2 linked regions of the Nothobranchius furzeri genome follow. The protein of the gene in region 1 interacts with the protein of each later gene in a biochemical or structural test. Links are inferred from orthologs where the notes say so. Each region holds a gene or a part of one and is shown on either strand. Other genes may lie near its edges. The genes, in order: atg9a and AP-2 complex subunit mu-A.

What was found.
Region 2: the proteins of atg9a (region 1) and AP-2 complex subunit mu-A interact in a biophysical measurement, tested with the Homo sapiens proteins (4 studies listed by BioGRID and IntAct, with this or other methods). The link is inferred for Nothobranchius furzeri from reciprocal best matches to the Homo sapiens genes ATG9A and AP2M1.

The regions. Positions count from the first base shown.
Region 1 is NC_091758.1:23,767,218-23,771,768, forward strand, and holds the start of atg9a (autophagy-related protein 9A), read left to right. Parts: upstream 1-1,708; 5' UTR 1,709-1,896; exon of another isoform or gene 1,897-1,953; intron 1,954-2,147; 5' UTR 2,148-2,197; intron 2,198-2,730; 5' UTR 2,731-2,772; coding exon 2,773-2,875; intron 2,876-2,951; coding exon 2,952-2,995; intron 2,996-3,067; coding exon 3,068-3,132; intron 3,133-3,224; coding exon 3,225-3,374; intron 3,375-3,461; coding exon 3,462-3,603; intron 3,604-3,724; coding exon 3,725-3,865; intron 3,866-3,941; coding exon 3,942-4,062; intron 4,063-4,206; coding exon 4,207-4,551. UniProt on the Homo sapiens protein: Phospholipid scramblase involved in autophagy by mediating autophagosomal membrane expansion. Cycles between the preautophagosomal structure/phagophore assembly site (PAS) and the cytoplasmic vesicle pool and supplies membrane for the growing autophagosome.
Region 2 is NC_091751.1:56,902,725-56,906,017, forward strand, and holds the end of AP-2 complex subunit mu-A, read left to right. Parts: intron 1-359; coding exon 360-479; intron 480-664; coding exon 665-800; intron 801-885; coding exon 886-983; intron 984-1,096; coding exon 1,097-1,208; intron 1,209-1,569; coding exon 1,570-1,704; 3' UTR 1,705-2,565; downstream 2,566-3,293.

The sequences.
Region 1 (4,551 bases):
ATGCAAAATCCATGCAGAAAGATCCCAGGCTGGGAATCGAACCCAGGACCTTCTTGCTGCAAGGCAACAGCTCTAACCACAGGCCACTGCGCAGCCCTGGAATGAATCATTACAGCAAAAATATTCATTATTCACTAATGTGAAGTATAGGACACTTAATCAAACACATTTAAAACAAATTGTTCATTCAACAGAATATGAATATATGAAATTTTAAAGTAATTTATGTCGCCAAAGATAGACTTTATTCAAAGAGTAAAAGATAAGGAGTCCAAATCTTGCAGCCTTGAGGACTCATGATGCATGCAGGATTTGCTAAGAATGTTGGCTCAAGTTCATAGATTTCATTTCGGCACCACGGTGTCAGATTGACCTGTATGAAGCAGTTTGGCCAGCAAGTTAAGAGTTAACTTCTGGTCATTTTTGATCAAGTACTTGGCCTTTTGGTACACTACACTGGCTTTGTGGAAAAATTATCTTTGTATTCTGGACCCAGCTACTGGACAAAACTCAGAGAATAGAGAATATTTGCAAAAACAGATAAAAGCAATTTTTGGATCAAAATCATCAATGTTACCGATATAAACCAAAGCAAGATGTATTTTCTGGACATTTATTTAAAAAATATCTGTTCTTGTAAATCAAGTCTTAATTTCTAAGACAGAATGATTTTTACCCAAATTTAAATTAATTAAATATTTAAGAAATGTTTTAGAACCAAACATTTTCTCTTCCTCAACCCTTGCCTGATGTGTCTTCTTGTTTGTTTTGTTTTCGGCTTTCACATGTAAACAACAAACCAATACTTGTGCAATACTGGATGTACATTGGTATGTCTGTGTCCCTTATGCTGCATATTTTTAAAAACTCGATTTTCTATTTTTATTTGCTGTTTTCATTGTTGAAGGTACATCAATAGCTTACTGCCTTTGTGTAATTACCTGCAATCTTATTTTTCCTCCATCCTTTTCTCTAATTGTATGTGCTGCTGTAACGAGTGAATTTCTTCATTGTGGGATTATTCTATTCTATTCTATTCTAAATAACATTCAATAATTCACATGATTATGCAATCAATTTAATAAATGAGCAAAAACTGTTTTCTGTAAATCCGACATGATTGTAGTACTAGAGAAAGACCACACGGTGGCAGTAAAGTATTCATTAAAAACGGTGACTTGAAAGGAGTGGAGAGATTTATTATCGGACAGCTCTGCAAGGACTTCATTTTAAAATGGGAAAATGTTGTATTTTGTTTTTTTCGCAAGCACAGAAATGAAGGTGTATACTTTGTTATAAATTTGTTAATTATTCTAGCTAAATTCTATCTCCACAAATGCAAATATAGTAACCAAAAACCTAATTTCAAGCACTATTATAGTGATACTCTATTTTACATAAAATTGATTAGTGGATCACTAAACAAAAAAGCTTTAAAAAACTATAACTATTTGCACCACCTATAATTTATTTGGATGTGTGTAACATTTCTGTAGTGCACCCCCTGGCACATGTTGCATCTTCTTGGTTCAATTTTGTATGCTATTTGTTTGTATACTTATGACCTTGTTCAATAAAGTTTTTTTTTTGGGGGGGGGGGGGGGGGAGAAAGGAGTGGAGAGATGAAAACCTTTTGATCCCACCCTTTTTCTGTTTCGTCAGACAAGTCCTTCTCTGATTGGATAATTCCTCTGTCACTCACTGATGACAGGCTGCACGCAGCTAGGCGTTTCGAAAATGAAACTGTCTCGTACCTGACGTCGAGAGGGAGCACAGAGGAAACGAAAAATAATATAGTTATCTTAAATTCCAGGAGATTGACTGTTCTACACCCACCCAGTAAAGGAAGAGGAGCCAAGTGGCGTGGACTCCATGCGGCTGGGACCGAGAGGAGAGGTAGGAGAGGCAGGCCTGTTGTGTCAAAGCACGAAAACGTCTCTTGTTGTTTTACAGGTAATTAGTCATGGCTAATAAACATTAGCATAAATAACATAAAACTGACATTTGGAGTAAGTTTTGCTTTGATTGTGTGTGTTTGTGTGTTGTGTAAGCTGTCAAAATCGTAAGGATGGAATTTTATTAGGGAAAGAGGCTATTTTTGAATAGTTTTTATTTTAAAAGTAAAATATATATGAATGTTATTACAGCTGGACACGAGCTATCGGTTTAAAATGGGACGGGCCATACTCCAAATAATGTAAGTCTGTATTGTTATTATAATTGTAATAATAATAATTATAATAATAATAATTATTATTATTACATGTTTCCTAATGTGATTTTAAAATTTGAGTTCCAAGAGTGTCTTTGGGATCTCTTCAGTGCTTATAGCAACACTTTAAACGTGTAAGCAGGTTTGAAAAAACTTTTATCACATTTACTTCATTATTAATCAATTCTAGTTGATGATTTCAAAGGGAGCTGCAGTATGAAGCAACAGAGTTTCATATCCTCCACTGATTCTCATTTGATATCATCCCCAGATCATGTTTCATAAGGCATTTTAAATCTATTTTCTAATTTGGTTTTGACATTTCAAACATTTATAAGCATCTGGTGTATTACTGAAGGTGCTCTTTTTTTCAAGGTGTTTGGTTTTAAATTATTGTTATCAACAGAAATCTGGTGGCAGCTCCAAAACCAAAGCTCTGTCTTTACCTGTGTTATCTACAGGATGTTCAGGATAAGAAAGCTGGTAATGATTATCCTTGTCTCTGATACCTTCTCCAGCCTGTAGTTGTGACTGCTCAGTCAGACTCAAGCCCGGTCACCATGGCGCATTTTGACACAGAGTACCAGCGCCTGGAAGCGTCCTACAGCGACTCTCCCCCCGGAGAAGAAAACCTGCTGATGCACGTGGCCGAAGGAAGCAAATGTATGACATGCACACTTAAATGACATCACATATTGCCCAACAACGTCTTTATTTATCAACGATTCTTGTCATTCAGCCCAGTGGCATCACATTGAAAACCTGGACCTGTTTTTTCAAAGAATATCCTTTTTTACACGATTGTTACAACTACATTAGACCAATAATCTCACAATGTTCCTTAATTTTCACCACGTCTATAATCTTCACCAGAAGAATGGATTCACCTGCATGTTGTTGGGGGAGATCTTTGAGCTGGTGTACGTATCATAAACCTTAGTCATGTTATAGTTGACGTCTTGTCTTTCGTCTCTTTAATCCTTGCTGTTTGGTCCCGACCTCCCCCCCGCAGTCAGCTGCTGTTTGTGGTTGGCTTCACCGTGTTCCTCGCTAACTGCGTGGATTATGACATACTTTTTGCCAACAAGTTTGTAAACCACACTAATTCTTTTAAAGTCACTTTGCCTGATGCATTCCTCCCAGTGGATGTCTGCAGCGCTCAGTGAGTCTGACATTTTATTCACAATAAATCTACATTTTCCACACTAAGATTTGCCTGATTGTGACAAAAGAATTGTTTTTCTTGCAGCATTCGAGACAACACGTTTGTGATCTTCGTGTTGATCATCTCCGGGGTGTTTTGGCTACATCGCTTTGTCAAATTTATCTACAACGTTTGCTGTTACTGGGAGATCAGATCTTTCTACATCCACGCCCTCAAGATGTCCATGGTGAGATGAGACAACATGTCCTCAATTGTTTGGTGTTTTCAAAATAACATCCAGTCAAGTTTGTAATGTTTACAAACATCAGAGGCTGACCTTTAACCTCTTCTTGTGCTCCGTGCTGCAGTCTGAGCTCCCCTATGCAACATGGCAGGAAGTTCAGGCCAGGATCATCGAGATCCAGAAGGAGCACCAGATTTGCATTCATAAAAAAGAACTGACAGAGCTGGATATTTACCACCGCATCCTCCGCTTTAAAAACTACATGGTGTGTACATTTCTGCTGGCATGGTGACTGTTCAACAGCTGATCAGATGACAGATGTGCTTCCTGTTCTTCTCTAGGTTGCTATGGTAAACAAATCTCTCCTCCCTGTGCGATTTCGGCTTCCGGTGCTCGGAGAGTGCGTCTTTTACACTCGCGGTCTTAAGTACAACTTTGAGCTCATCTTTTTTTGGGGACCAGGTGAGTTAGAAGTGTTTTTGATTTGTTTTTATTACATTCGACTCAAGACCTTGTAGCTAAACTGATGTTTCACTCATGCATGTTAACATCCCCGTGTCTGCATGTTTGTGACAAGTTTCAGAGCTTTTCATTCCGCTTCTGTAGGCTCTCTGTTTGAGAACGAGTGGAGTTTAAAACCTGAGTATAAGAGAGGAGGCAACAGGCTCGAGCTCGCCGACCGGCTGGCGTCTCGCATCCTTTGGATTGGGATTGCTAATCTGCTGCTGTGTCCAGTCATCCTGGTGTGGCAGATTCTTTATGCTTTTTTCAGTTACACCGAGGTAAGCGCTCCACATCCACGCATCAGAGCTCTGAAGTTTTATTTCTGCAGCAGCAGCTTGTGTTTGTGCACCCAGGTGATCAAACGAGAGCCCGGTTCTCTGGGGGCGAGATGCTGGTCTCTCTATGGTCGATGTTATTTACGTCACTTTAATGAACTGGACCATGAAC
Region 2 (3,293 bases), on another chromosome or scaffold:
GTCTTTTATCCTTTCTTTACTTTGTGCTGTACCACAGTGATTTAGGGGGAGGAAGGTACGATAGCAACAAGGTTCCTCTCCCTCCACCGCTTCATTCTCCTCCTGTGTTCTGCCCAGTAACTGTTTCATCATCCCTAACCGTCCTAGTTCACTCTTTACCCATCATCATTTACTGTAGTTTTGTAGTAATAATTTAATCCAGGTTCAAATGTTGTCTTCTAGCAGCCATGTCTTTGTACTTAAGTATACTGGTGGATATCCAGAGAGTAGATTTTATCTGTAGATTGGAAAAGGATAGTTAAAATCCAGACTAGTAACAAGTTAGTTGGTGTGTCTGATGCATCTTCTGTCCTCTTCAGTGGGAAGCAGTCCATAGCCATTGATGACTGCACTTTCCACCAGTGTGTGCGTCTCAGTAAGTTTGATTCTGAGCGCAGCATCAGCTTCATCCCTCCTGATGGAGAGTATGAGCTCATGAGGTCAGTAATGGTAGTAGATTATTAGAGCCTAAAGCATCCATGAATGTCTGCTCTGATAGATCCTGCTGGGTTTTTATTTATTTTTTTATTTTTCCACTCATTCAAAATTTTGGTGGATTGATAATTCCCCCCCCCCCCCCCATTTATTTTTATTAATTTACTTTTTAAATGTATGTATTTTTCAGATATCGCACCACTAAGGACATCATCCTGCCGTTCCGAGTTATTCCTCTGGTCAGGGAGGTGGGTCGCACCAAACTGGAGGTTAAAGTGGTCATCAAGTCCAACTTCAAACCTTCGCTGCTGGCTCAGAAAATTGAGGTCAGCAAACACATTTTTACATTTTTGATGAAATTCTTTAAGTTTTGACTTCACTGGTAAATATCTGGGCTAATTCTCTCCTCAGGTGCGAATTCCAACACCCCTCAACACTAGCGGTGTGCAGGTGATTTGCATGAAGGGAAAAGCCAAATACAAGGCCAGTGAGAACGCCATAGTCTGGAAGTGAGTTGGAGCTTAGATTAAATTTAATTAACAATCTGAACTCGATGTTTAACCTCTCAAGTATTCCTGTGTGGGAATGTTTCCTTTGTGAAGCTACAAGTTTGCATTTGCAGGATCAAGCGGATGGCTGGGATGAAGGAGTCTCAGATCAGTGCTGAGATTGAGCTGCTGCCTACCAACGATAAGAAGAAATGGGCCAGGCCTCCCATCTCTATGAACTTTGAGGTAAGCGCAGCACAGTCCAGTCTGTCCTCCTTTAAGCTGTCACAGCTTAAGAGCTTCCTAATTTCAGTCGGATTCAAAGTGAACTTTTCTCTTCCAGCTGATGTTTCTAAAACTATATTTATTCTGTGAACAGTCACAGACATAGATAATAATAAGTTAGATATTTCCCAGCTTCTCCTGGTGGCTGAGACTGTAATGTGGTGTTGGCAGCCAAACAAATGGACTCTGGGTTAAATCAGATCCCAGTATTTGCTAAGAAACTTAAAAGCCGTTTAGTGTTAAACAAACTCAGAGCTTCGGTGGTGGGTAAACAGAGCAGCCCGCCTGTCCTAACATGTTCCAACTTCCCTCTCCTCTCCAGGTTCCTTTCGCACCCTCTGGCCTGAAGGTGCGCTACTTGAAGGTGTTTGAGTCCAAGCTCAATTACAGTGACCACGACGTCATCAAATGGGTGCGGTACATCGGCCGCTCCGGCATCTACGAAACCCGCTGCTGAAGTTCAGCCCCGCCAGGCAGCAAACTGACCACTTCCCTCCCATCTTTCCTGTCATTTTATTCTTCTTTCCTCCTCCTCCGTCTTTGTTCCTCCCTCTGTCCTTATCACTTTTCTCCTTCCCCATCATCCCTTCTTAACTAGGTGTCGGAGATTGAATTTACATCGTTTAAAAGAAAAACAAGTAAATATGGTGTAATTCAGATATATGCAAAATGTGAACCATTGTATCGTATATATCTAGTAGTGATGAGTAAAAAATGTAAACCATCTGGTGTCCGAATGAAAAAGACAAGTGATGCCGGGTCTCAGGGGGAGAGGGCGGGAGCTTTGTGTATCCAGTGTTATCGTTCTTCTTTTCTCCGATATAGAAATCCCACGTCAGTTAACCCTGGGAAGGGGGTTCGTCACTATTGTGATTTAAAATAAGTCCTGATAGTTTCTATATATAAATATCCTGGTAGAGTTGACCTTTTCAATGAATCGGTATTTGATGCTACATGCTCGTCACTAGAAGGTAAATCATTCCCAGCCGACTGTCGTTCAGAAAGAAATGACGCTGAGCAAGTTGGTTTTGTACTTGGACGTTACTGATCCTTTACCTGTGTTCCTTTTCCCTCCGCTTTCAGAGTTATGCCAGGCAGGTTAGACCTTCATCCTGATTGGCTTATTCTGACTCATTCCCACAAACATTTTATAAGCACTAAGATTAACTTTCACACTATTTTTGGATTTAAAGATCAGTCTGCAGGGTTTGCAGTGAGGTGATGTCTCCCCCTGGTGTTTGCTTCGCCACTGTCTGCTTCATGTGTGTAGCCCTGGTGACCGTTCTGTCCAATAAAATCTATGTAACCAAACATCTTACCCCTCCTTTTCAGCTGTGTTTTTTATAATACTCTGGGGGGGGGGAGTACAGTCATTTTTCTCCATTACTGCTGTCAAAAGAAAATTGAAAGGGCAGAAAAAATTAGATTGGTTAATCAGACCAGAAAAACTGTTAAAAACTGTTAACTTTTTTTATTCTTGGGTCTACATCCAAAATATCAGACAAAAGTAACAATTAAAACTACTTGTGTACATTTCTTTGCCTTCTGCCATTCGAGTTAAGTGGACGTGATTCGTAGCTTAGCACCACAAGCTAGGCTGGATCTCTCCCCTGCAGTTTCTCTTCAACGCTCAAATCTGATTAGCAATGACAGCCAACATTTACACTAATCATTACAATGTCTCGTTTTTGCTTGGATGAAAGACATGCTTAGATCACTGAAGATGGGAAAATCCAGGATATTTGACTAGACAATTCTGTTACTATGATCCTCGTTTGTGCCCATGTTTAAGCTACAGGTGACGCCATCAAACAGCATTAGTTAGTGGAAGTACTGGTTAACCCTCAGATTGCCATCGAAGTGTGCTAGTCATGAGGAACTTTTAAAACCCTCTTTAGGAAGAACATTTGTGTATTTCCAAGATGAATATAAAAACAATACCTGCTGTTTTGATACAAGTTCCTCATAAGCTTAGATCTGAATTGCTCAAAGAAAAATGCAAGTCCAGCCTTGCTTTTGTCAACTCTGCTCAGAGTTCAAATGAGA